Xenopus tropicalis: one gene and its partners. The protein of the gene in region 4 purifies or fractionates together with the protein of the main gene of each other region. This does not show direct contact. Links are inferred from orthologs where the notes say so. Each region holds a gene or a part of one and is shown on either strand. Other genes may lie near its edges. The genes, in order: btrc, cul2, skp1, arih1 and jun.

Evidence for each region.
Region 1: the proteins of arih1 (region 4) and btrc purify together in Homo sapiens (affinity purification with mass spectrometry; 3 studies listed by BioGRID and IntAct, counting the BioPlex papers as one, with this or other methods). This does not show direct contact. The link is inferred for Xenopus tropicalis from reciprocal best matches to the Homo sapiens genes ARIH1 and BTRC.
Region 2: the proteins of arih1 (region 4) and cul2 purify together in Homo sapiens (affinity purification with western blotting; 3 studies listed by BioGRID and IntAct, with this or other methods). This does not show direct contact. The link is inferred for Xenopus tropicalis from reciprocal best matches to the Homo sapiens genes ARIH1 and CUL2.
Region 3: the proteins of arih1 (region 4) and skp1 purify together in Homo sapiens (affinity purification with mass spectrometry; 4 studies listed by BioGRID and IntAct, with this or other methods). This does not show direct contact. The link is inferred for Xenopus tropicalis from reciprocal best matches to the Homo sapiens genes ARIH1 and SKP1.
Region 5: the proteins of arih1 (region 4) and jun purify together in Homo sapiens (affinity purification with mass spectrometry; 3 studies listed by BioGRID and IntAct, counting the BioPlex papers as one, with this or other methods). This does not show direct contact. The link is inferred for Xenopus tropicalis from reciprocal best matches to the Homo sapiens genes ARIH1 and JUN.

The regions. Positions count from the first base shown.
Region 1 is NC_030683.2:30,526,942-30,533,511, reverse strand, and holds the start of btrc (F-box/WD repeat-containing protein 1A), read right to left. Parts: upstream 3,993-6,570; 5' UTR 3,967-3,992; coding exon of another isoform or gene 3,949-3,966; intron 1,712-3,948; 5' UTR 1,651-1,711; coding exon of another isoform or gene 1,632-1,650; coding exon 1,599-1,631; intron 1-1,598. UniProt on the Homo sapiens protein: Substrate recognition component of a SCF (SKP1-CUL1-F-box protein) E3 ubiquitin-protein ligase complex which mediates the ubiquitination and subsequent proteasomal degradation of target proteins. Recognizes and binds to phosphorylated target proteins.
Region 2 is NC_030682.2:21,642,540-21,649,025, forward strand, and holds the start of cul2 (cullin-2), read left to right. Parts: upstream 1-2,121; 5' UTR 2,122-2,270; intron 2,271-4,383; exon of another isoform or gene 4,384-4,495; intron 4,496-6,486.
Region 3 is NC_030679.2:26,566,168-26,572,825, reverse strand, and holds skp1 (S-phase kinase-associated protein 1), read right to left. Parts: upstream 3,940-6,658; 5' UTR 3,938-3,939; coding exon 3,841-3,937; intron 3,110-3,840; coding exon 3,036-3,109; intron 2,381-3,035; coding exon 2,237-2,380; intron 1,021-2,236; coding exon 880-1,020; intron 769-879; coding exon 733-768; 3' UTR 474-732; downstream 1-473. UniProt on the Homo sapiens protein: Essential component of the SCF (SKP1-CUL1-F-box protein) ubiquitin ligase complex, which mediates the ubiquitination of proteins involved in cell cycle progression, signal transduction and transcription.
Region 4 is NC_030679.2:92,184,132-92,190,117, forward strand, and holds part of arih1 (E3 ubiquitin-protein ligase arih1), read left to right. Parts: intron 1-890; coding exon 891-933; intron 934-1,881; coding exon 1,882-1,953; intron 1,954-3,778; coding exon 3,779-3,909; intron 3,910-5,532; coding exon 5,533-5,590; intron 5,591-5,986. UniProt on the Homo sapiens protein: E3 ubiquitin-protein ligase, which catalyzes ubiquitination of target proteins together with ubiquitin-conjugating enzyme E2 UBE2L3.
Region 5 is NC_030680.2:86,737,367-86,743,916, reverse strand, and holds jun (transcription factor AP-1), read right to left. Parts: upstream 4,076-6,550; 5' UTR 3,571-4,075; coding exon 2,632-3,570; 3' UTR 1,909-2,631; downstream 1-1,908. UniProt on the Homo sapiens protein: Transcription factor that recognizes and binds to the AP-1 consensus motif 5'-TGA[GC]TCA-3'.

The DNA of each region.
Region 1 (6,570 bases), on a different chromosome or scaffold from region 4:
TGACTGACAATAAAAATTCCTTAAAAGATTGCATCCTTGACCTAGATGAAAAACCTTTCAAATGCCTGAGTTTCCACTGATTAAAGCAGAAAATCAGGTTATAACTAACTAGCATATATTTGATACTCTGAGACAACCTGAATATTGTCTTGTTTTGTATTTTTATTCTAAAGTAGAGATCCACCATTTTTATTTGTAAGCCACATTTAGATGTAGAAATTGTATGAAAAAAAGTTATTTGTCCCAATAAACAGACTCCATAGCCTGCTACAGGTAGCCAACCACATTACACCAACACATCTTGGCTTTAACCACGAATTGATGAAGCCAGATCAAACTTGCATTTCATTATGTTGTGTGCCAGGCACAGTCAGACAACAGCAGTGTTATGGTGTAATCAACAGAAGTGTGTGTCACATAACATTGTGGGATGCCCCAATAGTGCAAGGACTGATGTGAGTGATATACATTCTCTGTGGTGTGCTGTGGCACTTTTTTGTAATTTACAGTCTATAAGGCCTATGACACACTTGTGCTTTATCCACTGTCTCTCAGGCAGAGAACAATGGTGCACAAAATGCCTGTCATTATTTTAAATACAACTGAATAAGAAGCGTCCAACTAAAAGCACACATAGTATTATCAAGTAGACTATGGGCCGAAAATGCACTGCCTCCTACCACTCTGTGTGTGTTTGATAGGTTGCTTTCCATTCAGTAGTAGTAGGAGATGATTTGCTGCTGCTATCTGTCCAAGGGCAGTGGCAGACAGAACACCCCTACGTGCAACAGGCCTTATAGCTAGGGCACATGGGGTGAATGACTGTTTTGAGAATTCCAGATTAGTAGGAATCCACTTGAATATGACACTTTTTAGACACCTATGCTAACTATTCAGTCAGTGGACCCATGGGTCAAGCTTTTCCTAACTGGAAATTTGTGATTGAGCATGTGGTGACCTGTGGGTGCAATGGCATGGTTGGAGCAGTTACTATGAAAGTCTATAAAAAAAAAAAATCAAATTCAAGCATTTTGCCTCCTTCATACTGAGCTTGAAATCATGGAGGTGCCTAAAGCTTGAATTCAACCTGTGTGGCATAGCCCTAAAATATAGCAAGCACTGCCAAGTATTAGGATAAAACTTTTGCATCCAATCCATGGAAATATAGGTATGGGATCTATAAAGCAGAAATCGGTTTTCCAGAAAGCTCCAAAAATCAGACAATCCCATATGCCATAACACCTTTTTCAAACAATTGTTCACATTTGACTGATTCGCTAGTCTCTGAAATAAGTCAGTACCCTGTACTTGATGGTAACAAACCCTTTGGAAAGCAATCCTAATTTGTTTTTTGGTTTTTTTTTTTTTAAAAAGTTTAGTAGCTTCCACATTTAGGAAAAAACTCAGGTCCCAAGCATTCTGGATAACATTTCCCATACCTGTAATGACTTATTTTTAAATTTTTAAAGAAAACAGAACAAAACATTTAAACCATAAAAAGAATGATTAGAAAAAACTAAACAAAGCTAAATCAAATTGTTTTTGTTCACAAAAATAAATAAATAAATAAATCAAAAGATAAAAATAAAAGTTCTTACTGGTGGCTGAAGAGAACATGAAAATCCTTCCATCTCAGTCCTTTTCCAGTTACTGTTTAGAGTTTATATAAATTGTTTCTTAATTAAGTCTCAATGTTATGGTTTCATATAAGCTGATTCCAGAAAATAAAATGATCACAGTTAAATCATTATACCAGAGGTAGTAAAAGGCTATAACAATTGATTACACTTTAAACAAAGACTTCACTTTATAATTAAAAAGTTAATCTGAAAATGCATTGAAGGAACAATCAAATGGAACTAGTAGTGTGAGTTTGAGCTTTCCCACCCACAAAGGTATTGGGCTGAGGGGGGGGGGCATTAACCAGGTTGTTTTGTTGGGCTTAAGTGAGGACTGACAAAGCACTTAGTACATGCCTTTGGAGCAAAGCTATATTTTCCCAGCACATTGGTCAATTCTATCCATCTGAGTGTGGGCAGATCCTATGAAGTTTTCAGGCATCCATGGACTACACAATCCCTAGAAAAGGCCATATAAAACCCTTGAGTCTCTTAGTTGGGTCTTTCCATGAAGCAGGTTTTTTTTTGTTTTTTTTTTTTAATTCCATATGTTCATGTGCTAAATTATATTCATGTTTTAAAGTACAAGGAAAGGTGGATTCACTGAGAGTTAGTATGTTAGCCAGGCCTGGATAAGAATTAAAAATAGGCCCTGACCTATCCACAAATTGCTAGTTACCCAAGTGAATCCAATCACTACATATTTTAGAGATGCACTGAATCCACATTTTATTTTTATTTGGACAAATCCCAAATCTTTCATGAGGGATTCAGGTGAATCGCTAACCAAATCTGAGCCCTAAATTGCATATCCAAATTAAGATAATGGGAAAAACATGCACATATAGCGCAAGTGAATTTGTGATTTCCTTAATCGAGTGACCTAAAGTCAAGTGATTTCAAGGGTTCGAATTCAGTTTGGCAAGACATTTGGATTTGCCTGAATCCAGCTGAAAAAGGCTTCGAACCCTCAAGTTTTTTCCTCATGCCTGTGCTACTTTAAGAAAAAAAAATGTACCAAAATGTAAACAAAACACTGCACCGCCATCTTATCTTATTGCCAGGCATGGGCATAAACAAGTACTAGAAGCCTGGAATAGCACTGGGGTGCTCTGGTAGTTCTTTTACCCTGCTCAGTGCAATTTTTTCAAAAAAGGAGCACCCAGTAAATCCCATTACTAACATATTGGCACCCGCAATGACTCCACCTTTCCTGGGCCACAGAAATTCCTTTGCAGTCACCTTAAAATTCTGACGATATATATTTAAGGCTAGTTCCTTAAAACACACCTTTTTACGCGTATTAAAATAAACAAGATATTTGGGTTATTTAAAGACTCCACCGGTGCAGGTTTTCCAGATATAATCACTTGAGAACAGGTGAATAAATCAGTGGATGAGCTACTGAAGCCACCAATGGACTGGCCTTGTTCTATTGCTGCTTAAATCACGGGTTCCTATTTTCCATGAGATTGAAGCGGAGTGTTTCATAAAATATAATTGTTATGAGCAAAGGGCAAACCTTTGCCTTTTGTTGGACCACAACTCCCAGCATCCCCAAAAGGCAGGAAGCTAGGAACTGTTCTAGGAGATGAGCCAGGTGTGAAGTGACTACCATACTAATTAAAATTTGGTGGTGGACAAGTAGCATTCCACTGAAAGGAATGATATTATATATATATATATATCTATTATAATTACCATCAAATGCTTCATGTATCACCCACAAGCACCCTTGGCCTGTAGTGAGTGCAATATAAATGTGCAATTTTAAAAAGGACCCCACATCCAATTGGATATGCTGCAATGCCTATGTGTTGAGACTGCGCCACTGCAGTGCCGATTAACTACAATTCCCACCATTCTCTCCCGGGAATGACGGGATTTGTAGTTCAGTAGGGGCTGAGGGCCTAGAATCGGACATCCTTCCCCCAAGATAATATAGTTTCCTATCACAGCCCGATATAAGCTCCATAGCGCTGAGGGTATTGTTATATAGCACCGCGGATCGTCAGCCATACCACTCCCAGCAACCCCAGGCGGGCTCCGCGGCCGGCGATATTGGAAGTGGTAGTTTAACATCGGCTTGAGATCCGCAGGCAGAACATCAATGTATAATAGTAATAAGAGTACAAAGAGGACAAAGCAAATACGCAATCAATGCAGCCGGTGATACCCGACAGCCCAGCTTGCACAGTCACCAAGCCCCGACATATTTACTTATAAGCGCGTCTCACAAACGCTCCCCTAAACCCTACAAACCCATCAATATCGCATTAGTACAGCTAAATAGGCTTATCTAGAGCAAATTTTCTATCGATGATATTACCTTTTTATAAGATGCCATCACCCCCAGTACACCCTTATTCAGAGAGGTACTTCCTCATCCGATGACATCATAGTCACATGGTTCCCTTAACTAAGAACGCTACGGCGGCCCGCAAGGAACAAACGTCAGAAAAAAATCGAAGTTGACATCTTTTTAAGACTATATATTCCGATTAAATTTGCATACAGGGTCAGCTCCTCGTGTTTTTCGGAAACTTGTTTTAATCACTTTTTGTCGTAAGAACGATACACAATGATTCATTGATAAGCACTGTAAATACATACGGAAATGGCATTCGTGGCCTGCTCCGACTGATGTGTGTAGAACGTGTAATCAGTGGTTTCCTTATCTGAAATAGCTTGTAAACAATAGACGGATCAGCTTTCATGTATGTGTGGAAGCAGCCAGAAGCCTAGTGTTAGAGGGAAACGCCCTTTTTAACCCTCTTCTGGTATCTTGCTCATAGTAAATAGTGCAGTTAACAAAGTAAACAAAACTAGGCAAATATACAATTATACTGCACAGTTGCTCCCTGTTCTTTATTTGTAATGTGAATCTAATGTTCTAATGTGTATCTCAGTCCTGGGAATTATCCAAAATGTTCAATTAGGGCAGTGCACAAAGGCATTTGACTGGCAGAAAAAGCAGTGCAACTACATTTATGTTATTATTATTATATATTTAAGAAGTAGGGAAGGGTAAGAGATTATGCCCTAGTAGAAGGTCAAGGTTGAAAGTGTGAGGGCAGAGCTATTCAGTTAGCATGAGGACAGAGGGCTAGCGAGCCATAAGCCCCAGTGAAGGTGGCCATACTCTATAGGATCTGCTACTCTGTTGATGCTGGCAAAAAAGCAGATATTTCCCTTGAAATACCCACCTAAGGTGAGCAACATCGGCGTAACCGGATCGTTTGACCCTCGTGCCAAATGATAAGATTACAATGATGGGAATGAGAGCCACAAGGACCACGTGAGTGGCCACCTTTAGTGGGACCCAAGAGTCAGGGTAGAACTAGGGGCACATTTACTAATCCACGAGCGTCCGAAAAGCGTCCAAATGCGTTTTTTTCGTAATGATCAGTATTTTGCATTTTTTCGGAAAATGTTGCAACTTTTTCGTAGCCGTTACGACTTTTTCGCATAATGTCGCAACTTTTTTGTAGCGTTACGACTTGCGCAAATTGTCGCGACTTTTTCGTAGCCTTTGCGCCGAGTACGAAAGTTTCGGATTCATTCAAGCTTCAGTATCGTGACTTTTCTTGGGCCAGGTTGGAGCTGCAGGATGCCATTGAGCCCTATGGGAGACTTTCCTTGGGCCGGGTTGGAGCTGCAGAGTGCCATTGAGCCCTATGGGAGACTTTCCTTGGGCCGGGTTGGAGCTGCAGAGTGCCATTGAGCCCTATGGGAGACTTTCCTTGGGCCGGGTTGGAGCTGCAGAGTGCCATTGAGCCCTATGGGAGACTTTCCTTGGGCCGGGTTGGAGCTGCAGAGTGCCATTGAGCCCTATGGGAGACTTTCCTTGGGCCGGGTTGGAGCTGCAGAGTGCCATTGAGCCCTATGGGAGACTTTCCTTGGGCCGGGTTGGAGCTGCAGAGTGCCATTGAGCCCTATGGGAGACTTTCCTTGGGCCGGGTTGGAGCTGCAGAGTGCCATTGAGCCCTATGGGAGACTTTCCTTGGGCCAGGTTGGAGCTGCAGAGTGCCATTGAGCCCTATGGGAGACTTTCCTTGGGCCAGGTTGGAGCTGCAGGGTGCCATTGAGTCCTATGGGAGGCTTCCAAAATCATGCTAAGTCTGAAAGTTTTGCCTGCAGTTTACGAGCGCTCAATACGAAAAAGTCGCGACAAGATACGAGCAAATCATAACGGCTACGAAAAATTCACGACAATTCGCGCAAGTCATAATGGTTACGAAAAAGTTGCGACAATTTACGAAAAAGTCGTAACGGCTACGAAAAAATCGCAAAATGTTCATTTTCCAATCGGAATTTTTCCCATTCGGATTCGTGGGTTAGTAAATCAGCCCCCTAGTGTCACATGTCAAACACTAGTCCAAGACTGGGGATTCCAACTTCCATGCAGGCCCAGATTTCTAGTAAGGCCACAAAAGGCTGGGCCTAGGGTGGCATAAATTTAGGGCTAGCATGTAAGCGGGTGGTGGGGCGAACGGCCTATGGGCGCCCTCATCTGAAATCCGGTGCTGCTCCCATGTCAACAACACACAGATTCTTCTTAAAGGAAAACTATACCCCCAAACAATGCAGGTCTCTATAATAATATATCACATAAACAAGCTCATGGAAACCCTGCTTCATCTAAATAAGCCATTTTCATAAAAATTTACTTTTTAGTAGTATGTGCCATTGGGTAATCTAAATAGAAAACTGCCATTTAAGGGTGGCCTTCTGGGATCATAGGATTCACAGTGCACAACAACAAGCCAAGGCACACATACATGCTAGGCCCCATCAGCTACACCTCGCCAAGCGAGTGAATCTTAATTTGTATTATTACAGAGAAAAAGGAAATAATTTTTAAAAAAGTTAATTATTTGCTTATAATGGAGTCTATGGCAGATGGCCTTTCTGTAGTTCAGAACTTTCTGGATAACGGGTTTCCGGATAA
Region 2 (6,486 bases), on a different chromosome or scaffold from region 4:
AAATTATTTCCTTTTTCTCTGTAATTAGAAACCAGTACCTGTACTTGATTCCAAATAAGATATAATTACCCCTTATTGGGGGCAGAACAGTCCTATTGGGTTTATTTAATGGTTAAATGATTCTCTTTTCTCTCTAATAATAAAACAGTACCTGTACTTGATCCCAACTAAGATATAATTAACCCTTATTGGGGGCAGAACAGCCCTATTGGGTTTATTTAATGGTTAAATGATTCCCTTTTCTCTGTAATAATAAAACAGTACCTGTACTTGATTCCAAATAAGATATAATTACCCCTTATTGGGGGCAGAACAGTCCTATTGGGTTTATTCAATATTTAAATGATTTTTAGCAGACTTAAGTTATGGAGATCCAAATTACAGAAAGATCCCTTATCTGGAAAACCCCAGGTCCCAACCATTCTGGATAACAGGTCCCATACCTGTACAATTAATCTGTTTTGCTATCTCTAACTGTAAAATGAAGACTAATGGTATTTTATTAACCTATTTTAAGTAACTGCAGAGTGGGAGCAGATGGTGGGAACAAATGGAGCACACATGTACTCAAAGGGATGTTATGTGCCATGTTATTCTATACAAGTGTGCTTGGGTGTATTATAGTATGTCCAACCTGTTGCCTTTCAGCTGTTGCCCCACCACCAGATCTGTGGGAAAAAGGCAGGAAATCCCTGGTGTATCTCCAGAAAATGTTTACTTATCTTGTATAAAAATACAAAGAGGTATTTATAAACTATGTACAACAGAATATATTGGAAAGATTTCATTTTATGGTGCCATGCAATGGGGGTGCTGCTTGGTATATTGGTGATATTTAAAGTGTATAAGGGTAATTACTTATAGTCCCCAAAAACATGGCCCTAAATACCACCTTCACCTTATAATGTTCTACAGCAGTGGTTCTTAGCCTGTCTGTCTTGGACCCCTTGAGATTTGGGATGAACTCTTATTTGCTATTCTAAATATTCTTAGAAGCATGGCTGAATGTCTGATACAGCAGTGTTTTTGTATGTCTGTCACATCACTATTCTCCAAGTGAAGTCCTAACCGAGTACTGGACCAACAACCTCTGCTCTATGGAGTTTCATTTGTAATGAATGCTGCTGTATGTTGTGCATGTTGAAGTTTATCTAGGGTGAAGACACACAGAGCTACTAGTAGCAGCTACTTGTCGTGGCTACTAAAATAGACAATGCTGATCATTTACTGATAATTGTCTCTACTTGTGTTTTAGCAGAGGTAATTCTCAGTATTGTCTATGGCAGGGGAGTTTCTGAAGTTTAAATAGCCATAAAAAAGTAGCTGCTACTAGTAGCTCAGTGTGTCTTCACCCTTATAGATACTGTAAAATTGCACATGGAAAATCTTGATTTCCACATGATATGTCTCTTTTAACATGTCTGTATATTTTTGGAACATGGTAACAAATCCATAATACCTGAGAAATCTTCCAAACACTGGGAGAAACTCCCAGTGCATATAGTGATCTGGTTCTTTTGCCACAAGGCAGTAATAAGCATTATAATGGTTGTTCACCTTTGTCTTAACTTTTAGTATGATTTAGTAATTTAATTATTTCAATTTTTGTTCAGCAATTTCAGCAGCGTTCTGGTTGCTATGGCTCAAATTACCTTAGCAACAAAGAAGTGGTTTGAATGAGACTAGACGATGAGTAGGAGAGGACCTGAATAAAAAATAACTGATACAAAGTAATAATAACAATAAAATTGTCACCTCACAGAGCAATCATTTCTTGGCTACTGAGGGGGGCAGTGACCCCCATGTGAAAGTTGGAAAGACAGCAGCGAATAATTTAAAAACAAAAGTAAAGTTGATTATAATAAGTCATTGTGCAAGATTGTTACAAACATAAAGCTCAATAAACTTAAAATAAACAAACGGAAACTTTAACAAATTCGCAATGCCTTTTTGGTGAAATTGGGATAAGAATTGTTGAGCAGAACACAGAAATGATATTATATTGGGAGGCACGGCAGGGGGCAAACAACACAATATAGTCTTGTTGTTGTTATTAGAAGTAGAAGTAGGAGGTGCGATGACAGGAAAAGCAGATTGCGAGCTGACCTAACGCAACCTACCCGCAGCTTCACTCCCACAGGGCGGCTACGTGTGCGTCACTGCGTCACTGCGCGTACGTCTAGCCGTAATCTCGCGTGATGAGACTAGGCGTTGGGCTTGTGTGTAAGACAGGAGGCTGGGACCCTGCACTGGACAGCTTTGCGGGAGGTGTAAGTAGCGCTGTGGGACTGCGGACTGTGCTAGGGATAGCGGGACTGTGGGGCAGCAGCCACTGACTTACCGGCCCCCCTGCTGTCACTGACTGGGAGACTTGAGCAGAGAGGGCGGGAGGCTGAATGTTCCCTTCCCAGCTCTCTGTGCTGCTCGTTTTGTCACAGAAGTTTTCGGCAAGGTAGAGGTGTATAGGGATTGGGTAATATTGAGAATGAAGTTTGGACCCCCCCCAGCCTATGTAGTCCCCATAGATCTCTACATAAGTAAAACTGTGTAAAAGGCAGCAGTACAGCTGTGTAGGGGGAAGAACATGCACAGACACCTGAGCCCTGCCCTTCCTTGTGTCAGCAGCTGACTGTCAGCTGGGGGCCCAGTAAGCCAGGGAAGTGTAGCACAGCTGAACTGAGAGCCAAAACCCAGCAGGCCCTACACGACTGTGTCCTCTCTTCCCCCCAGTGGTTGCACTTTCTATAAACAGAAACCGAGAAACAGCTGATCCACCTTTCCACTTACTATTCTGACAGCACTGACAGGCATGGGGTTGGACTGCAGATTTCCACTCAAAAAATGCATCATTTCCTGTTTTTGCCCCAAATTGGCTCTGTGTCTGCTCTCAAACCATAGCATTGCCTGTCAGTGCAAAAAGAAGAGCAAGTGGAGGAGAATGGATTGGCTTACATGTATACACAGGCCCAGAAACAGCCACATCTGCTTGATCCTTAAGGGTGAAGACACACAGAGCTACTTAGTAGCAGCTACTTGTCAAGGCTACCAAACCCCAGAAAATACCCTGCCATAGACAATGCAGAGAATTGCCGCTGCTAAAACATACATAGAGACAATTATCAGTAAATGATCAGCATTGTCTGTTTTAGTAGCCATGACAAGGGTGAAGACACATGGAGCTACTAGTAGCAACTACTTGTCGTGGCTACTAAAATACAATGCTGATCATTTGCTGATAATTGTCTCTACGTGTGTTTTAGCAGAGGCAATTCTCAGTGTTGTCTATGGCAGGGGATTTTCTGGTGTTTAGTAGCTGTGAAAAAGTGGCTGCTACAAGTAGCTCTGTGTGTCTTTACCCTAAAGAGGCTATTCATGTCTGGTAAAATTCTGGTACTGTAAGGAAAAAATCATGTAGACAGGTATGTACATATAAGCAGCAAGACCCTGATTAGGTTCCACCTGAGGATGGATGTTGATTTGTGAGACTGCATTTGCCCATTAGCTGCCCTCCCCTCCCTCCCTGATTTTGGCAGTGTTATCAGAGCCCACACTGAAATAAGAAGGCAGCCATAATGTCTATGTTGCAGCTTATCAGTTCATCTGCCTGCCAAGTGATGGGAGAATAGTGATGACGTGTGTAGTGCAAAGATCAAATGTTCATGACTAGTGCAATCATTTGCATTGTTTGGGGTGCGCTTTACTTGGTTGGCAGCAAGATTTGTTTGGGTGGAGATCCAGGGGATGAAAAAGATGCCAGAGAGTAAACAGATTGAAAAATTGCTGCAGCGATTGTGAATTCATTTTTGTATTTACATGTATGATTATTTTGGCTGAAGGGCCCATAACCCTAATGTCTTGGCACTAGGCTGGTGCCAAAAAAGCTACTGTCATTCAGGGTCAGCCAAATTCCGTTTTGATATGTACATGAATATGCTAGCACACATCTTCCAACTGAGTCACACTCCGAATGCATAAAGCTTAGCTTATATTGAAGCATCTATAAAAACCATATATGCTAGCGCACATACGTGTATAAATATATTGATTGCCAGTTACTATGTAACATTCTGTTTAGTGCCTCGGTTTGTTCGATTTTGGAGCAGACTAATACTTTTTGGCAACATTTTTACTACCCTTTTATCAGCTAAAACAATTTGTACATTTTGTTGATAACATAGGTAGATATGGCAGGAACAGGAAATGCTAATTGATTAAGTAGTGCTCAGTTTGAGTCTAACTGCTTCGCTGTTATCTGCACTGTCAAGTCAGAGCGCCCTTTAAGACCAGAACATTTATATTTATAGTTAATCACCTGCTCGTATCTGTCAGTGGCTTGTTACTTGGTTTTTAACTTGTGAAATTACTTCTGCTCTTGCAGAAACTGAAACGTAACCTGTTGTGCATACACTTCCTGCCTTTGCCTGTCTGTAACCTCTTGAGCTAACACTTTAGAGTGTCGTTGGACTGGATTACATATGCCACTACTACATGAGATGTAAGGATATAATTAATTTATTTTTAGTCAAAGATAAACAAAGTCTAAGCAGAAAGCGCCTAAGAAATAAGTGAAAGATCCCATATCTTAAGATGTGCTTGAATTATGGAAAGCCCCACAAAATAAGTCTGAAGGTATGCAGTTCAGCAATACTGCAGTATTTCTTCCACCCAGTTGGGTGGTTACTTACAAAATCACAATCTGGTTATAACAATTCAAAATCTATCATAGAGGGAATCCTTACCTTTCCCAGCAGTGATGCAAATCTCACTCTCTCCAAATTTTTCTGCGCAAGATTTTTCACATACAGAATGTAAATATATACCGTAATACAATTTTTATTTCAGTAAAAACTTTCCATCTTAAAAAATGAGCACTCACAAATGCTGCATAGATTAATTGCATTCCATAATAGTTATAAGCCAAACTTCCATAAAATCCTGGATATAGGGTCTGTTAAAGTCCACATTTTCCAACCATTAAAGGAACAGTGTCAAAAACTGGGTAACCGCCTATATTAACCCTGAGTAATGTGGCTGTAATGTTTATAAGTGGTTTGCATATTTTTAAATCCCTAACACATTTGCACCTTTTAGTGAAGGGGGTCTCTCACTGATAAATACACCTTTATGACCACACAGGGTTCTTTCCAAACATGGATCTATTGTTTGTTATACGAGTGTGTTAACACTATATTGGACACTTTATTCACCTTATTCCTTTCATAAAGGTTCAAAGATATTTTACTATTGGTGTACACTCATTGATTATACTATTTTGTATGGTTGTATTTAGTTCCACCTAATTGGGACTGTAAGTGGGCCTACTCACAGTGCAAAATGTGCCACTATGTTTGGTTTATTTTATCCATATGTGATTTGATGGCTTGCTTTTTAGTCAGAAAAAAACTGATGATGTTATTGTGTTAGAGACAAGGCTTCCTTGCACCCACCAGCTCTGCTGGATTTTTAATCTTGTACATTGTGCAGCGGGCATAAAGAACCCAAGCGGTTTATTGTAAATGACCACTTTTGTATTTTGAACAGTTAAATCTAAATGTCTGATGTTTACAATGGTATTCTAAGACTAAGTGGAGTTTTTTTTTATTGGAAAATGTCCATATATGAGGTGCTAGAAGAAAGTCTATTTATGTGTGTAAATAATTTTTTTTTATTATTACACCATAACAGACTAAACAGATATGTTTTGAGTCTGGAATGGAGGGAAAGAGTGGGGATATGAGAAATTAAGAATATCTTCCAGATAAACAGGGTCTTTATTATTATGATATATAATAGCGAAAGGGGCAATTTTGAAGGGAATCCTCCATGTAATTGGAAACCAATGTAGGGTAATGTGGCATTGGCAGTGTCGATGAGTAGCCTGGCTGCTGTATTTTGTATCAGCTGTAATTGGTACAGTCCTTTTTCTGACAGACCATAATACAGGGGCATTGCAGTAATCCAGTCGTAAGGAAACAAAAACATTAAATTAATTTTGTCATTGGCAACCTTGCCAAATGAGCGGATCTTACCGTGTATGGCCAGCTTTACATGGTTGATTTCATTTGCTGATGGCAAACCGCTATTAATTCCTACATCCTGGAAATGTACTGGTTCTTCCAGTTGTTAGGAAGGTAATTATACATAACATTCATAAAATAAATTCACATAGATGCTAAACGAAAAGAAAAATCTTATCCATCTAGATACTAAACATAACACATGTGATTATGAGGTGACTAGCTGGCCTCTTGGTAGTCCCTTATGGATCGCATTGTTCATTTGAAATTCCTGGACTGTAATAATCCATAATGAGCAGTACTGGGCAACAATAGGGGCATTTTTGTTTGTAACCCCATTCTTATGGGGCAAAACTACCTAGAATCATCCTTCTGTGCCATAGACCTTGTGCTACAATGCCACTGGTATAATTGGGTTTTTATTGATTATACATCACTTGGATAGAACAAATATGTCAAAACCATTATA
Region 3 (6,658 bases), about 66 Mb from region 4:
TTCTCTTGCACAGAAAAGCAACCAAGGAATTGTCTCAAAACTATGCTTGAGCATCTATTGCACTAAGGAAATGTAAATCATGCTACCTCTCTAAGCTTTTAGAGGGAAAGGTAAACCACTAAAGTCTCCCTGTGACATTCAGAGCTGGGACACCACACAAGATAAATACTCGCACATGAACTTGAGACACGTTCGTTAAAGTATGAAATCAGTGTCTGTATGCATAGAAGGTGAACTTTATATAAAAACAAAAATTCACAACCTCATAACTGCCTGAGTGGCCAATTACACTAAACAGAGAAGAGTCTGTCACATACATGTTCCAGGCAGATTATTTTGCCATACACACAAAACAGCACACATTGTGATTTGCTGCTGAAGTTGCCTTGTCAGAGAAGCCAAAATCTAGGAAATGTAAAGTTCTGTCAAAACACAGTTCTGCAAGAACAGGAGTAGACTACTGTGATGCCATCTTTCATCTTCAAAGCACGCAGCTAACAGGTTTATTATTGTTTTAAAGGAAATATCACACAAGATTACAATGGTTAAAACACGGCTTGAAGATCTGAATTACTCAATAAGAAAAAAAAAAAAAAATGTCAGACACAACACATGCAGCAAAACATCCTCCTGCTAATTTAAGCTGCTGAATTGTCTAGTATAAACAGAGCAGTGCAACTAGTTGATTTGGAACGACTTGTACAGTGTTACAGTGGTAACAGGTATGCAACTTCACTTTTCTTCACACCACTGATTCTCTTTGCGTACCTAAAAGGAAAATAGCATAAAAGAGGTTCATTAATAAATACTCTTGTTGGAGTGGAGATATTGGCTGACACACTTGTAAAAGGAAATAAACTTAAGCGTATAAATATATACCTGAGCTTCTTCCTCCTCAGTAAAGTCGTTTTTGATGTTGAAGGTCTTTCGAATTTCTTCTGGCGTTTTTCCTTTAATCATGTTTGCAACTGTCTTGCAGGTGACATCAAGCAATCCTTTGATATCCAAATAGTTGGCAGCCTGAAGATAAAAAAAAAAAAAAAAAAAAGCAAAATCAAACCAGCCCCCAATTTTTTTTTGACCAGCAAGAACTCAAACCCACCCCTGATTTGCTCACACTCCCTTGTATTTGATATGGTACCAATAGACTGCAGAAAAGCTTATGAATTGGCTTAGAAGCAATATATGTTTATGACAATGACACAAAAGTTATGCAGCTCAATCAGTGCCACCAAGAATGTAGCATCCTTTAGGAGGAACTGGACAAACTGGGAGACTGGCCTGCTAAGTGGCATTCCAAAATATGCAAGGAGCTGGGGTGACTTGTGGAAAATAAACTTAGCTTTAGCAAGCAATGCCAGTCAGCGGAAGGAAGAGCCAGCAAGGTATACAGACTCAGAGGGGAAGTACATATTCCCACTTTAGAAAACACTGGCAAAGGCCCCATCTAGAATATGCAGTGCAGTATTGGTCTCAAATCCTTAAATGGATATTAATGAAATAGTAGCTCTTTTTGGACTCGCTCTAAATTAATGAAGGGTATTTTATGAGGAAAAGTTATCATACGTGCTTTAAGTGGCGTATAAGCACTACATATGAATATGCAAGTGTAATTTATGTATATAGGATTGAGATGAAAAAAAAAAAAATAGTTTCAGCCATTTTCAGTTTGGAAGTTAAATCTATGCTGACTGAGGAATATATGGACATGTGTATGTAAATTTTTAAAAATCTTTTATGAATTAGTGTATAAATTTCTAGTAACTGTTGTGTTATGTGTTAACAAGTAAAATGGCAGCCACGTTTTAATGTATGAATAAAATTATGTGTGTTAAAACTATATTGCTCAGAAGCAACATGCAGATGCCATGTGGATGCCTTTATTGAAGCCACTAAGGACAAAATTATGCACAACGTTTCATATATGTGGGCTCACCCTTACCTCTCAAGTGCAGGAGAACAAGCACACTTTGTTGGAACATGTTAATGGCAAGGTTTTTAAATATCAACTCTCCTACCTCTTTCGGACAAAAACACAAATAATTACTGGCTGTGTTGTGTGTGCACTACCTTCAGGCTGTGTTGTGTGTGCAATACCTTCAGACTGTGTGGTACTTTAAGTTGCAGGTTCCCTTTAAGGTTATTAATACTACTAAGTACAAGTACTAGAAATACACTTATGTAATTCTAATGGGTTCTATAAAAGCTGTTGGGTTTTTTGGTGAGCATGCCTCACCAAAATCAGTTCAAATAGTGTTCCCTGATCCACTTTTAAAAACTCTTGGTCCCACACAGGGATATCATCTGTTCTCTTCTCTTTGTTTTCATCGTCTTCGGGTGGAGGGGGATCATCTTTATGATGTGTACACCACTGAATGACCTGATGAAAATAAAAGTACATAGGTATTTATCTTTATGATTTATACAACTGACTGCATTTGTTGGCCAGGTCCTGAATCCAAGACAATGTGGTACTGCTAAACTTAAGATATGTTCAATTTCATCATTTTGTTGTTTATATGTTAATATAATTCAAGCTAGTAAAAAAAAAAAAAAAAAAAAAAGTAAATCTTGTAACAACCTACACTTGAAGAGCTAAACCAAAAATAGGAGCAATGTCCTCTACTGCCTGAATTAGAGAGCAAGTGTTTCTAGGTCTGAAACAGTATACATCATAACTCAAGAATATGAAACCCCAAACAGCAGGATGAAGTTCCTAATAACCAATAGTTCAGTTTTATTTTTTTACTTGCCAATATGCCTTAAAACCCTGGCATTTATAAGTAGTTCTTCTTCTGGCAGTGATAAGCAAATATAAATAATGTGTGTGTGTGTGTGTGTGTAGGGGGGGGGGAGGCTGTTGCAACTTTTTAATTAACACAATTCTGAATCTGGTACAATTTTTTTGTCCTAATTACATTGCATTATATCCCTGCAGCAAACCAACACCTCTAAAAAAAAAAAAAACAATCTCTAATCTGCATCCAGTATTCTAGTATGGGTATACGTAAAACCACTACCTAAATAGCACTTACTTTTTTAAGGATTGCAGCATTAACATTGGGAAGTGGCACAGGGTCATCATCACCTTCATCATCCATACCCAGATCTGTTTAAAAACATTTAATTGATAACTGTGTCTTGCCAAAAAAATGTAAAAAAAAACCCAAGATAATTTAGACAGAAAGGCAATGTTCTAAAACTATAGTCAAATAAGAGATTTCTCAAGAATTTACACAAAATAAATTTAAACACAACAGAAATATTACAACCAGTTCCTCTGAGGACAATTTTTTTTCAGCAAGACTGCTACTTATTTGTTATATTGGGATCACTGCTGTTATGAGTAGTTTGAAACGCTGTGTACCTGTTATGTAGTGAACAGCACCAAAACTTTTTTTTTTTTTAATAAAAAGCCCTTATTCCATCATTTCCAAATCCTGGATTGTACAAACAATGTTTTCTAAAGTACCCTGTGTACCTGTCTCTTATCAGTGTAAAAGGAGCTACTACCTAAAAAGATAATCCTCCACAAACCCAAGAAATTTCCCAATTTGAAAGTGGATGACAAAATGATTGGAATTACCCCTGACATTTCAATTGCAAATGTCTGTTCACCCAGGTGCACTCAAAGGTCATGCAAATGCTACATAGAAGAAAAATTCCCAGCAATATTGTTTCTGTAAAGGGATTGCTTTTGGAGAGAATCCACTCAATTGCCCAATGTGCCTTTACACCAACACTTTCAAAGCTAGGAGAATAAAAACAAATGAAGACCTGCACACCAGAGGACAAAATTATAAAGAATACATATTCAAAGAATTTTTTTTTAAAAAGTACCTTCCAACATAGTTTTAATTGTTACTGACTGCTTTGCAATTTCAACATCCACTTCAAAAATCTCTCCATCAGAACTCTGCAGCTTTATAGAAGGCATCTGAAAAACAAAAACACATTAATCAACACAAACAGTACTGCTTAGTGAAGTTACTGCAAGCAAAACAGAAAGAAAATCAATTGGTACTTTCAATGAGAGATGATCAGGAAGGCAGCTGTGAAACTCAAGATGCTGCACTGAAGCACATTTAAGCATGGTGAGCAGGAGAGACATGGGAACAAAATGGCAGCAAGCACAGCAAGTGCACTGCAGGCCATTGTAGGCAAGTAGAATCACAGAGTGGCTAACATGGCAACCACCCCCCCAGTGACTATACCTTTCCTTCTGCTTTAATGAAATGCAAACATCATGTTTCATGCCCTGGTTGTCAGTAAGGCAGGGCCAATAAAAATAATCATCTATACAACAGCCCTGGTGCCTGGTTGCTTCAGTCTCTGCCCAAGACCCACACCAACTGTGCAATATACAGTGGTCTGGCACGGCCTAATGAGCAAAGGGAAGAAGCTGCAGCTAGTAGGAATAAGAAGGGGCCTGCCAACTGTTGCCAGCACCCTGCCCTCCACTACCAGGAAGAGAATAAGGAGCTAAAAGCTTTGGGTCTCATCCGGAATGTGCAATTACCGGTACTCTGCAATTTTCAGAGAGCTGTGCAGGAATTGGGAAAATGCACTAAATTCTAACAGCTGTCAACCTGGCACTGCTCCTTTAACAGCCGACTGCAAATGGCTGGACAGCTGGAGATGGATGAACCCTTGTTAACACTGGCCACCATTAGTGTGCACGCAGTACACAAAGGGAAAGTGTCTCTGGCATATATGATGTGGGAAAGACTTACTGAGCAGGTATAACTATGGAAGCAGAACAAAGTAATTACCAACAAAGGGTGTCATTTTACTGCTGCAGTATGACTTTGCCAATAGCAGCCAGGATAATGGCAATTGCCAAGCTCCAAATCTGCATTAGAGGCCATTTGCCCATCCTGCCCAGAAAAAGAATCTGTACATCAATAGTTGACATACAGCCAATTACAGAGAGGACATTTGCTATCCCTGAGCCATGCTTTTCACTCAGCCTCATTTTAAACAAAGGCTTTATGAATTAAAATAACAGAAGTTTGGCCTAGACAGCAACATACAGAGCAGAGTGACTAACAGCACAAGGCAATAGGAATTACCATATTCTGTTAAAAAGAGGACTGGTTATTAAATATCTTAGAGGGGACAGAGTGTACTTGAAATCTTAATTGTGTAGTTAAGCACATTTTTAATCTTACAGGTATGGGATCTAGATTAAGGAGACTCATTATCAAGAAAGCTTTTGGAAATGCCATTTTATTATTGTTTGACCAATTTCCTTTTGCTCTATAATAGTGGATATTTCAAAACGGTGACTGATCCCCTACAAGTTCCATGTGAGAGTCCACTGTGCCCAGGTAAACAAATATACTGTTTAATTTATTATAACAAATATAATGGTTTATAAGGAGTGGGTCCAGCCTACATGGACTTGTCAGACGAGAATGGCATCAAAGTGACAATGCAGTCTTTGCCATGTAGGATTTTCAACCCTGCCGAATATATATCTAATTTTGTTTGGGTATGGATGGGCTGGGTCAGCAGGTGTTAAGACAATAGTTGACTGAAAAGTTTTTCATATACTTTTTCAGGCACTCTACATATTGTAGCCTTCACCATTCCCAGCTACAGTCTGTTGATCTCAATGGTGGCCAATAAAAAGTGCAACAATTTTTTTGCACTAAAAGGAAGTAAACTGCAGGTAAAAATCAGTCCCTGCGTACTAATGTATAATGAAGCAGTAAAATACTTAATAAATAATATAAAAGTCAGTACGGGAATTAAATTTGGCATAGTTGGCCAGCTTTCAGTATATTGCTAAAAGGGGAGGTCATTTCTTAGTAGCTTAATGCACAGAATGTCTTAATGTCCTATATCTATACCTATATCTATCTCTCTCTCTCTCTGTATCTCTCTCTCTCTCTGTATCTCTCTCTCTCTCTGTATCTCTCTCTCTCTCTGTATCTCTCTATATATTGAGAATATCAATATCTTTGGTCTGAAACCTGCATGTCACCACAAAAGCTCATAGCTCAAGCAGTGACCGGCATGTTTTCCTCCAGCTGTGTCATGATCAAAGGTAGCTGCACAAGCAAATGATTGGGCAACTTTAGATTTCACTGCCTAGGGTCTGTATGTTTTGACTAGAAGACTAAAGGAAATCATCAATTATTATATATAACCAATTATTTTACAGGAACTGCAGTTTTTGCTACAAAGGAAGCTACCAATCACCTGCAAGGGAATGCAGACATCAGAAACCACACTCTTGGGGCCATCTTGGCCCCAGTTAAGTTGATAGGCATGACTCCTGATACCTGTATTCTGTGCCAGTCATTAAGGGGGGGTAAGTGATTTTCAATACAGTAGTTCAGGATGGAATCCCAAGGACAACATGATGGGTGAAACCATTATGCACTGCAGGTAAATGTAATGATTTCATCCCATGAGCATGGGTATCCCTGCAGCGGTCAGCTGACATCCCCCCACCAATTAAAAGCGAGCCCCTGTGCTGTAGCCAAGTAACACTCAACAGGAAAGCTAATGAGCCCGCACACATTTTTTAAAGTTGTTGAAAGCAGAAAGCGCTTGTTTGAGACTGATGAGGGATATCTGCAAAGTTTAATAGCCTATAAACTACAAATTAGAAAATCACAGTAAAATGGATAATATCTTTTAAAAAAAA
Region 4 (5,986 bases):
TTTCTTATGTGGTTTATGTGATTTGCCAATTAATTGCACAAAAATGTAAATCAACAGAGAGCCTGACTATTCCACACATTATTAGGGAACTGAATCTACACTACCCCTATGAAAAAATTGCAGCCATATCTACTGGATGCCCCCCAATGGAAAAATGGACTATACTTCTCCTCTGAAAACATTGCTAAAGAGAAAAATTAAGGCCTTAATGTGCATCCATGTAATTTTGTATACCACCCTTTCCAATTTTTTTCAATAACTGTTGCCTTATGGCACTGTCTGTTAATGTTATTTTAAAATGATCTTTTAAAACTTATATAACGTATTTCTTATAAAGCATGATGAAACATGAAATGTTAAAAAAACAAAATGTGAATGGAAAAAGTGGAAGACATAAACACAATATTAGAGAGAGACAAAATGCTATAGAAAATTAGCAAAACTTTGTCATATTTGCTAGACACTGAAAATGGACAATTGGAGCCTAAACAAGTTTACGATCTCTTGACTGCACATCAGCTTTGCAGATTCAGATATTGCAAATGCAGTCTCTCATCAAGAAGGGTATTAGTAAATCTACACAGTTCTCTTCCTGATCAGGAAATTTCCTGTTGTACTCTGCTGAAACAAAGAAGTATATTAGCATTGAAATTGAAATTACTACCCTAAACAAAAAAGTAGTATATGCAGTAACATATATCTGTATGTATCTATATGAAGATCTTTTGTTTTTTTTAATAAAGATTTTTTACTTGTATGTTATGTTATGTTATGTTTATGAATGTATTAGAAATTTCTTTTTTATATATAATTTTTGTTGTAGTGTTAATAAGGAGTTTTAAACATTTGATTCTCTTTACATTCTCACTATTTCCTCTTTTACTTTACAGCTTTAACTGTGGAGAAAATTGGCATGACCCAGTTAAATGTAAGGTAAGAAACCATAAAACAAACACACCCTGTTTGGAAATTATAATGGAGAATTGTGTGGATTTAATATCAATGTTTAAAGGGAAATCAGATATGATGGCTGAAATGACAGCTCTTTGCACCATTTTAATGTTAAAGTAAATCTAAAATTCTGTGGTTAATCTTCATAGTTTATGAACCTACAGAAAGCTCCCTTTTTCATCCAAAATGTGGTTATCCAATGGAAGTAGTGGTTTCTACTGTGCATGGCCATGGTGGTGGGCAAAACCCCCTGTGCTACTGTTACACAGAGTAGCTAAGGGTTGCAGTTACAGGGTGAGGGGACCTTAAGCTGCAGACACTGATGTGTTTGTGTGATGGCAACTCTCCTTTAATGGTTGTCTTGCTGCAGTTTTTGGAATAGTCAAACTGTAAGATATTAATTACTGCTAAACCTTACCCAACAATCCTCCAGGGGCTCAACCCCACAGTTTGGAAACCTCTTGTTTTTTTGATGTCCCTGTCAACAGCTATGGCATACCCCATTCTGTTACTATCCTGTCAGTGGTGTTAACATTACAGGCATACAACTCTGTGCAGTAGGTTTTTCTTTTTAACAAATTTATTAGTAGTCTTTGATAAAAATCAATGATCAGACAGCGTGATTATCACAGGGGAGAGATTGCTGTAATAGGAGACATAAGTATCAATGAAAAAGCAGGATGTTGGTTTTAGAAATATTAGGGCCACACTACATATGGAACATGTGATATGCAGCATATAGTATGTTGTATTTTTGTTTAAAAATAATATTTTGTCATTGTAATTTTGTGCAAATTGTTAGATGTGGCAAAAATAATGATTTGGTTTCAAGTATCAGTGGTTATTACTATGGCTTTATGAAACCCTAGAAACTTAAGAAAGGGAATATAAAGTGCATAATGAAAACATACAAACACGTTCTCTTAATAGTGGTTAAAGAAATGGATTAAGAAGTGTGATGATGACAGTGAAACATCAAATTGGATTGCAGCTAATACCAAGGTAAGGAATGAATGTTTGAGACCACACTATGTAATGTAATTTTAGTGGGAATGGACAAATGTATGTTAAGGATTGTACATGTGGTAATGGTTGCTACATTCAGTTGTTATAATTATTTGTTTCAATTCAATTGTGCTTCTTTTAGGGCGGTTGGGCATATTGCGGTAAAGATTCACTTGTTTGGGGAGTGAATCTTACAATGTATGGCCATCTTAAAGAGGTTGTTCACCTTCAACGTCCAAATCTTATTAAACCACGAACAATGCACTCAGTGTGTTAGAAAATCCATTTTCCATTAAAAAAAAAAGTAAAAAGACCATTGTAAAAGCCACTTTAAAAGCTACTTATACCTGTTAAATTAGTCCTGCTTCTGTCTCTCTGATCAGTTTTCTGAAGGGATGGGCGAGGCCTATTTATCGCTGACCCCCCCCCCCCCTCCCAGCCATCGTTAAAACGGGCTGTATACTGCCTTGTTCAATAAATAGGCTCTGAACATACTTCTTGCATATTGTTTTTATTAGGAAAAAAATTTCTCTACTTCTCTTACACAGTCACATGTGGGCTTAATGGATTCTGTCATGTATTTTATTTTTAAATTACACTGTATACATAGCAATTGACCATTTCAAATTTTATTCTTGAACCAACAAATGTATTTTTTTAGTTGTAATATTGGTGTGTAGGCAGCCATCTCAGTGCATTGTGCCTGAGTCTGAGCTTTCAGAAGGAGCCAGCGCTACACATTAGAACTGCTTTCAGGTAACCTATTGTTTCTCCTACTGCCATGTAACTGGAAGAGTCCTATTCTGATATCTACCGGGAGCTGCTATCTTGTACCTTCCCATTGTTCTGCTGATCGGCTGCTTTTAACTCAGTAGTAAAAAAATGTGTTTGCTTTTAAAAAACAGATTTGTAGGATTCTGTTGGAGAAGCTCTATTAGGGCTCTCCCTGGGTTGCCTTCCCCTGCCATCCCACCGGCGAACATGTAAGTCGCCGGCGGGACGCGGCGGCGCGATTTCGCGCAAATCGCCGAAAAAGACTCGCGAGGTGGGATGGCAGGGGAAGGCAACTCGGGGAGATTAGTCGCCCGCGAAAAGGGAGTTTTGCCGCGGGCGACTAATCTCCCCGTGTGCCAGAGCCCTTAACGTTTTGAAAAACATGTTTTCCCATAACAGTATTCCTTTAAGATGACCTTTGCTCATTCCTCCTTTATTTTCCTATTACAGTATAGTTTCCTTTTACTATTTGCCAAAGTTTGCACATTACTCCTATAATTAGGTAGTAGTAGTACTTTTTTTTTTTCATTAGTAGGAGCTCAATGAATAGGGCTTGTTCTGGCCATACTTTGCCTATAGTTTTAATTAGCACTTTTCATTTTTGTTCTTAGGAGAGGTGTGCTGTTTCAGTCTGCAAATGGGATACTAGTCTAGCAGGATACAAACCTTACCACTTCTATCTACGTTAGGCCTTTTGCTCTTACCTGAAATTAGCTAGGCCACAGAACAGAAGGGAAATTCTACTTGACTTCTTTTCAGACTCATAGCTGATGTACAGCCTGCAGTAGAAACCTGATACATTTTTTAAAAGATTTTGTATACAATCAAGGTGGCATTGTACAAACACAGCATTAAGCTTTGTAATAATAATGAATAAAACTATCTGAATTTTTTATTAGACCCCAGAAAAAAATACCCCCTTTCTCTACGTTAGAGAGAGAAATTTTCCAACCTTAATGCCTTATTAGTTAGTTATAAGTAATTTGAAAATGGCACACGTATCATTCTTTTCCTGGTTTCCTTTTTTTTTTTTTTCTTTGCATAACAGGAGTGCCCAAAATGTCATGTGACAATAGAGAAGGATGGAGGTTGCAATCACATGGTATGCCGGAACCAGAATTGCAAAGCAGAGTTCTGCTGGGTTTGCCTGGGTCCATGGGAGCCTCATGGTTCTGCTTGGTAAGTATATAAACAGTTTAAGGCTATTTACAATCACTAGGTTCAAAAGTGGGTGTACTTAATTATACCTACAAATATACAAGCTGCTTCAGCTTATTGATACTTGCTCTATGCACACATTTGCTCTTTGTGCAACACCTTTTGGCTCAAGGGCATGTCTCCCCTAACACCTGCCTAAGCCAAGTGTTAGTATAGGGATTCTTTTTCAAATTGTGCTTATATGCCCTCACTGTTGGAACATTTGACGTTCACAACCCTGCATTTGCTCTTAGCCAAACTAGCTAAGTTCTTACTCCTATCTCAGCAAACCAGGTCTTTATGGGCTTTGTTTCATGCCAAAACAGGGAAGGCATGAAAGGACAGGGAAACTGTTCCCACGTAGTAGGAAGGACAGCATTATCAAAAATGTCGTTATCAGTGCCATCAATGGCATCAGAGGTGCTAGTCTACATCATGAAAACAGCCCCTCAGGCTGTTTTTCTTCGAGAATTATGTATTTGCATAGGTAGCTTTCTCTTTGCACCCCCAAACCCAGACTCATCTGTCAGCCTATAATTTAGTTTTGTTTACTACTTTTGACTAAACTAAACCATGTACATTTATTTTACTACACCTGTTTGTGGGATTTGTGCTTGACTGCCAAATAACCTTGTGGTTAGTCATCTATCTGCCTGAGAGATTGATAAATATCATAGAATGCCACTGCTTCAATGCCAGCAACATTTACACCACTCACTCCAGTGCTGTACAGTACAAGCCACTTGCTGTAGAGTACATGGTGGTATGTTAACTTTTAGAATGATGGAGAGAGAGTGCTATTGGTATTCGTTTTTTTTTTTATTTGTGTTTTTTCTAACATTTCCATTTTTGTTAAGCATCTTTCTAATTTGGAATTTCAGCAGCTATCTGATTGCTAGGGTCCAAATGATCTTAATAACCAGGGAATGGTTTAAATGAGATGCAGAAATATGAGTAGGAGAGGGTCTGAATAGAAAGATAAGCAATAAAAAGAAACAATAAAATGTTGCCTGCTGGGGTCAGTCACTCCCATTTAAAAGCTGGGAGTCAGAAAAAGAAGGCAAATAATTTAAAAACTATACAAAATAAATGAAAAAATTAAGACCAGTTGAAAAGCTACTTAAAATTGGCCATTCTGTAACATACTAAAAATTAACTTAAAGGCGAAGCACCCCACTTTGTAAATGCAAATATACAGATAAGAAAGGTTCTGTACAAATATAAACTAGATTTGGATATTGACTGTGGCATCCTGTTAAACTTTTTAAAAAGTACACATTTTACGTTTAAGGGCTCTGGCACACAGGGAGATAAGTCGCCCGTGACAAATCTCCCTGTTCGCGAGCGACTAATCTCCCCGAAATCCCATCCCACCGGCGAAAATGTAAATCGCCAGTGGGATGGCATACGGGGAGATTAGTCGCCCGCGAACAGGGAGATTTGTCGCGAGCGACTAATCTCCCCGTGTGCCAGAGCCCTAAGGACCCCATATACATTCCAACATATTTAGTGTATATCAACAGGTTTAATGCAAAGTTTATGATCATCTCAAGGTAATTTCTGGACATTATAAGCATTCCCATATCTTACATTGCTCTCTTACAGGTATAATTGTAACCGTTACAATGAGGATGATGCAAAGGCTGCTCGAGATGCTCAAGAGGTGAGTAGAGCTTCCATCTTCTAATGAAATGCTGCTCTTTTTTTTTTGGTAGAGATTGGCAGGCCCACTATACATGTAGAATACATACATCAGATATTTTGATGCATACCGTATATACTCGAGTATAAGCCAAAACCGAATATAAGCCGAGGTACCTAATTTTACCTAAGAAAACTGGAAAAACTTATTGACTCGAGTATAAGCCTAGGGTGGGAAATGCAGCCGCTACTGCTAAGTTTCAATAATCAAAATAAAAACCAGTAAATTACATAAATTGAGGCTTCAGTGGGGTATATGTTAGCTCTGTAAGTGGAGAAGAGGGTCAACAAAAACAATATGAGTACTACCCCATGCTCACTGCGCATTGGCAAACTGGCACCAGACCCAGTCCCGGAG
Region 5 (6,550 bases), on a different chromosome or scaffold from region 4:
AGTTATTTATTTAACTTAAATAAAAAATGAAAACCCTCTAAACTTTCTGAGCACTTTTGTGATTTACAAATTTTTCGGTTTTAATAAAACATGTTCTCTGTGCAACTTTCTGTAACTAGTACCAGTGCTTAAGGAACACTATTGTAACTGTATCTTGTATTATCTTGTATTATTGCAGCTGTATCTTGTATTTATTTGTGCTTATTGTAATACTTTGTATTTATCTATTTTAATACCCGTTTATATTAATGTATTCTACTGTACAGTGCTGCGTACATAAGTAGCGCTTTATAAATAAAGTTATACATACATACATACATACATACTACTGTCCTCAAAGGTTAGCTCAACAAATTGTCAGTTTCCCAACAAATGGATTACTTTGCCCACATGCCTTTTTTTACATAATGTTGGGAATTCTTTCTCCATGTGAGAGCCAGATCAATTTAATGTTAATTTGCCAGCATGAGGAAATAAGAGGTGTTATCAAGGCTGGGAGCTGTAAAGGAGGGCAACTCTGTCCCTAGACTTCTGTACAAAAGGTGTGGACACCAGAGATGGCATTCTGTTAATGTCAGAACTGGTTTCCATTGCAAAAGATGCATGCAAATGTAATTTCTCCTTGGTTGCTGGTACAGTAGCACTCAGAATTTTAAATACATAAAATTACACTGCAAATATACTTAGCAACACTGTTTCAGCAGTATTCATTTTTGGGAGTTTTCATATCTCTCAGTTTAATTTATGAAAACAGAAACTATGCTTATAATATTATGTAGTAAAGAGCATTTGTATTATTTTTTTTAATGTACCACCTGTTTCAAGCCAAAACAAATAGTGCAAATATTTGTTTGTGCTTTGTATGTATTTTGAATCCTTCCTGTCAGCCTATTTATTGTACCTGGTATACAACCCTCTGCATTTTGCATCCTAATATTTTTTATAAGAATGTTATTTACATCACAAAAAAAAGCAACTTGGGCCTATGCATTCCAACACAGAGCTTATTTTTCAAATATGGGTTAGTCATGGCTGGATCACAAAGTAATTTTCTTTAACAGGAGACAAATGTAATTACTGTTATTCCCAACTTGTTCAGCATAAATCACTGTGTTCATCTAATGTTGTGACTACAATTTCTAATTGCCACTCATAACAGGATAGGTAAAAAGCACACTAGCATCCACAGCTGAGAGGAACAAGCACATTAACCCTAGTGTGGACCAGTCATCTCTGCCCTGTGGGTTTACTTTCCTTAGTGGTGCTTACATGTAGACTTCAATAATCATAGTCATTATAAGGGTAGTTTCCTTCACAAAATATTGTTTACATATAGTACACCACAAAAAGGACTTTTTTAAAAAAAAGTTTTTATAAAATGTACATTTTACAAGGGAATGTGTTTATTTCACACCTCTTGTGTTTCCCAGTAGCACCTTAAGAAACAAGGACTCTAAAATGCTACAGTTTAATAAATTAGTTGGTATATTCTCATCAGTAGCTACTTTAGTTACTACTACTATATCAATTTGTTACACTTTTCTTTTTTCAATAAACTTAGGAAAAGCAACTATTTATCAATTTGTAAAATTGAAGAGGGCTGGCAACCAGTTGGTATTTGTGGTGCACAATTTGGAAATGATTATTTAGCCAATAAGGCTGGAGAATACTGTAAACCATTCCTAACCCCTCAAACATATAATAACAGCAGCAAACTCTTGCCAAAAGCCCAGAACTTTATAATAGCATATATAAATAACCCCAAGTGCTATGATATAAAGAAAATATTGGTCAGTATGTTCTTTTCTGCTTTTACTTTTATATTGCCCAATACCCATATCAAATAATTGTCAAAATATAATACCCTTGAATAGACTCATGCAATATATCAAGTACTATACACAGGAGATAGTTTAACATGCACGTTTATTGCAGTGTAAAAAAAAATATCAATATAAATAAAAAAATCTAATTTCCACATCTTTTATTTAATATCTTAAATATAATTGAACGTCTGGAATTGTCCTTAGAAACAAAAACATAGAAAATTATTATACTTTATTACAAATGGTAAACTCAAGAGTGCTCAATATCTCTTATTTACAGAAAGTAGTGGGTTTATTAACCCAAACATAAAAATAACTTACAAATGCTTGAAGCAATTTTACTGAAATAATTCAGTTTTTCTTAATATTATAATAAAAAAAACAAATATGTACACATACACAGTTATGTAGAAGGCAGGCAGATTTGTCATTAATTTTACTTTTCAATGTCCCGTATGCCTCCCTCCCACACCCTCCCTTTGTAAGAAAACTACGGAAGCAATCTAGTGTCTCTAGCAGTTTAACCTTTTCTTAATACTGAATGATCATCGAATGTTAGGTCCATGCAGGTCTTGGTCAATGTTAAACATGTATCTGATGTTTCATTAGAGCAGGAACAGCACTTGACAAGTGATACTGCTTGTTGCATTGCCACAGGCTCCACCTAAAGGCTTGTCAGGACTCCCCGCACACGCACGTAGAACAGTCAGGTCTCAGTGCCTTTCATTTTGAGCCAGGGAGTTTCAACATGAAACTATTTCCCTCCACAAAATAATTCTCACATCTCTTTCCCAAAGAAGCCTTTTCAGAATGTTTGCATCTGCTGTGTTAACATTAGCTGACACCCACTGTTGACATGATTCATGACTTTTTGTTTGAGCTGGGCTACTTGCTCTCTAAGCATGTTGGCAGTGGATGCCAGTTCAGAGTTCTGGGATTTTAAGTTTTTAACTTTGTCTTCCAACCTGGAAATCCTCTCCAGTTTCCTTTTTCTGCATTTAGATGCTGCGATTCTATTCCTCATACGCTTCCTTTCAGCCTTTATCCTTTCCTGGGACTCCATGTCAATAGGGGACAGTGGAGGAGTCTCCCCAGGCATTTCAGGTACAGTCTGTGGTTCCTCTTTCAGAGCCTGTAACCTGGGGTGCTGCACGGGTATTGGTGGGTTACTCTGATGTTGGCCGGTATACCCCATGGTGTTGCTGTTAAAAGGCGATGATGTGGTGATGGTACTTGGGTTAAAGTTACTTAGATTGGCATACACAGGGGGCTCGTTGTGAAGACTATTGTTGAAGCCAGTGTTTCCAGCAATAGTAGATACAGGTGTCAGTCCCGTGCTGGCAGGTTGGGTGGCAGTGGTTACACTTGGCAAGTTGTTTTGATGGTGGAGTTCTGCCAGTGCCCTAACAAACCCCTCTGCAAAGCCTTCTTGCTCGTCTGTGACATTCTTGGGGCACAGGAACTGGGTGGGGGTCGGGGTGGTGGTAATCATGCCATTGCTGGACTGGATGATAAGCCTCTCCAACTCCGGGGAGGCGAGCTTGAGAAGCCCAACATCAGGGGAGGTGAGCAGTTCAGCTGCCTTGTTTCTCAGGTGAGGTTTGATGGCGCTGCTGGGGTCCGACAGGTTCAGGGTCATGCTTTGCTTCAGCACCTTGTTGTAACCATAGGGAGTAGCATCGTGCTGGGCGAAAGCAGCACTCAGGGCATCTTCGTAGAAAGTAGGTTCCATCCTTGCAGTCATAGAACGGATGCCGGACAGGGACGATGACTGGACCTTACGTTAGTGTGACACCAGCACCAGCCTAGAGAGAAGAGCGAACAGGTTGTTAGCTGACACACCGAACCCCATGGCACCTCCACCCCTCTTCTAAATGGAACTTATGCTTCGCCTGCCGAACTACAACTGGCAGTGTCCCGTAGTGAGAGTTCAAGCACAACTGCTCCCAGCCTGGCACATAACAGAAATAAATGCGACTTACTTTGTGTCTCTAGCAGCAAAGAGGTCCTCGTACTCCGAACGCCACAAAAGTTCTTATAAACTCCCGGGAAAGTTTCCAAAGCGCCGCCGGAGATATGTAATGGCGAGCGCTGGGTGTGTGCGTGTGCCCAGTATAGGTGTCAGGCACACGGACACAAGGAAGAAGTCACTGAGAAGTTAGACGTTCCTTCTCCCCAAGCGCCACAAGTGCTGTCAGTGTGAGCTCTACTCACTTGTACTGGGCTGTGGGACAGCGTGCAGCTAACACTTATCTGCGAGCGGTCACCCACTAAAAATAGACATGATGTCACCCCAACGTCCTGCTATTGGTTGAGCCTTGGGAAGGGAGGCGGGCCAGCGAGGCCAAATGAGCCTCGGTCGCTATGACGACCGCCCTAGAAGATTCTAACTCTCGCGAAGGCTCATGGGATGAGGTAATGCTCCTTTGCCGCTGGGCATTGTGGGCTGACGTATTGTTGTTGGCGGTGCCCGTTCCTTGCTTTGGTAGTTGGGATGGTAGTTTGACGTGGGTTTCCCGCCATAAGGGCTGTTCCGCTCACCCCCTGGTACTGGACAGGGGCTTGAGGCAATTGTATGGTAGTCGTAAGCCGCGGAGGAGACTCATCCCTTTCCTAGCAAAGCGCGATATGGTTGTAATGGTTGTCTGTCACATAAGGAACCGGAGGACTTGGGCTGTGTTTGTCGGCTGGTGAAACTGAAAACTCAGAGTTGAAACAGATTATTTCCACAGGTTTAAGCGATCAGTATGGCAGGTTTTTCAATATGTTGTTTGTTAGTTGCCGAACTAAAATGTGGTAGTGGTTGCTGGGAGTTGTAGTTTTGAAACAACTGGTTATTTTCGGTAGAATGTTATTAGTGTGGTATAGTTTTACTGGCTTTATAGTTATTGTTCTCTTCGCTGTTTTACTTTGTGTAGGACACGGGGGAGACCAAGTTGCAGCCCTCCGGCCATTGCGGGTCCGTGTGTGGGGGTGGGGCTGTATGTGACTAGGAGTTCAACAAGAGCTTGAGGATCGCAACATTGCATAGATACACCAGTGTCAGTGACAGAGAACATGTAAGGCTGTATAGCATCATTGTTATTAAAAGGGTCCCAGTGTTGTGTAGGCATGTGCTACATTCTAATGATCATGCCTTTCTGCACTGGGGTGGATAGCCAGGGAGAAAAGGTGAGGGAAAGTTTTTTTTTTTTTTTTTTTTTTTTTTTTTTTTTTTTTAATTTGGTGGGGGAGGGAGTTTATTGGTGGGTGGGTGTGTAGATTATGATGTGGGCGTTGATGAAAGTAAAAAAAGGATGATTGGAAGCAGGGTGAAGGAGGTAGGGGGAGCGCTGGGGAGGCTTAAAAAGTTTACAGGAGATCAGGTTGCATCCATGAGAACGGAGACTGGCTTTTATGGGTAGAGAGCAGGCAGGCTATTTGGTTTATCACCAAAGTGAATAGAAAATCCTTAGAAATTGATAGAGATCTTGAGTATTAAACCCACTCTTAACAGCTGCTGAGCTACAGCTTCCATGATACCCAGCCATTCCTCCACAGAGGATAGTTCCCTAACTGAGTTGGACATCTTTCATGAAGAGCTGCTGAAAGTGTTAAATAGCAACATTTCTTTTTTGTATATCCACATGGTACAGGAAAACATTAAGAGAAACCATAATGTAAGAATAAGTGCCAAGGTTATTAATGGGTTAAAGAAGAAAGCGGTGAGGAAATCCCTTCTGAGACTGAGCTTTGCAAATAGCATTCTAATTGCATATATAGGATATAGGATTTTTCTCCTAAACTGTTGTTGGTAGGAGATCATGTAATATGTTAACCCCACCCCCTAGGTTAAAAAAAAAAAAAAGTAACAAGTAATTTGTGTCAAATTTTAAATTGGCATTACAGCTGAACTTTTAGCCAGCGTAGATCTGTGGAATATGTTGCTGCTTTATGAATTTTTGGTGAGGATTCCCACCTTGCACATTTCTGGTTTAATTCTGAACAGTGGACTACCAGCTTTAGAGGTAGCATGCTTTCTGTGGGATTCCCCCACACACTCCAAAACACTTGGGGCAGGTGAACTGCCTCCTGATAAAACTCTGATAAAGCACCACTGGAACAGAAACTAATGTAAATTATGAACATTCTCTTAATATTTCATAATAAATTCTTTTGGTTTTTAAACTTGGCATGTTTATGTATAATAGGATTGCAGTATTTTTAATCTTGCTTAGTGCGGCGTATATTACAGTTCTTTTCATTCTCAAAATGTATTCTAAAATTATAACACCAGAACATCCTTCCTCAACAGGATGTTCTTACTCCTATATGGAATAAGCATATTATGAGCAGTAAAGCATCAAATATTTGTTGGGGACTTGATCTGCTTGTTTTGTACTGCAGGGAGTGCACTTGCTTTTTTTTCCCCTGTTACTGGAAATGTGTCCAGTCCTGGGAGAAACTGAGATAATGACCATGTTTTGTGTGTGTGTGTGTGTGTGTGAGCATCAGCTAGCTCCTCCTCTGCAATCATCTAGCCAGAGCTTGTCAAGTACATTTAGTCAAACAGCAGACAGGGCTTTAACCCCTTACAAAAGGGAAACTAAAGTTTTTATGTTCTTTGCACTTATTTTTATAGATCCCTGTAGTTGCAAAACCATGGGAGATTAAATGCATGGATTTCTTTTTCTGTTCCTTTGATAAAATTTAAATATAAGGGCTTTATGTAAATGTAAGGGCTT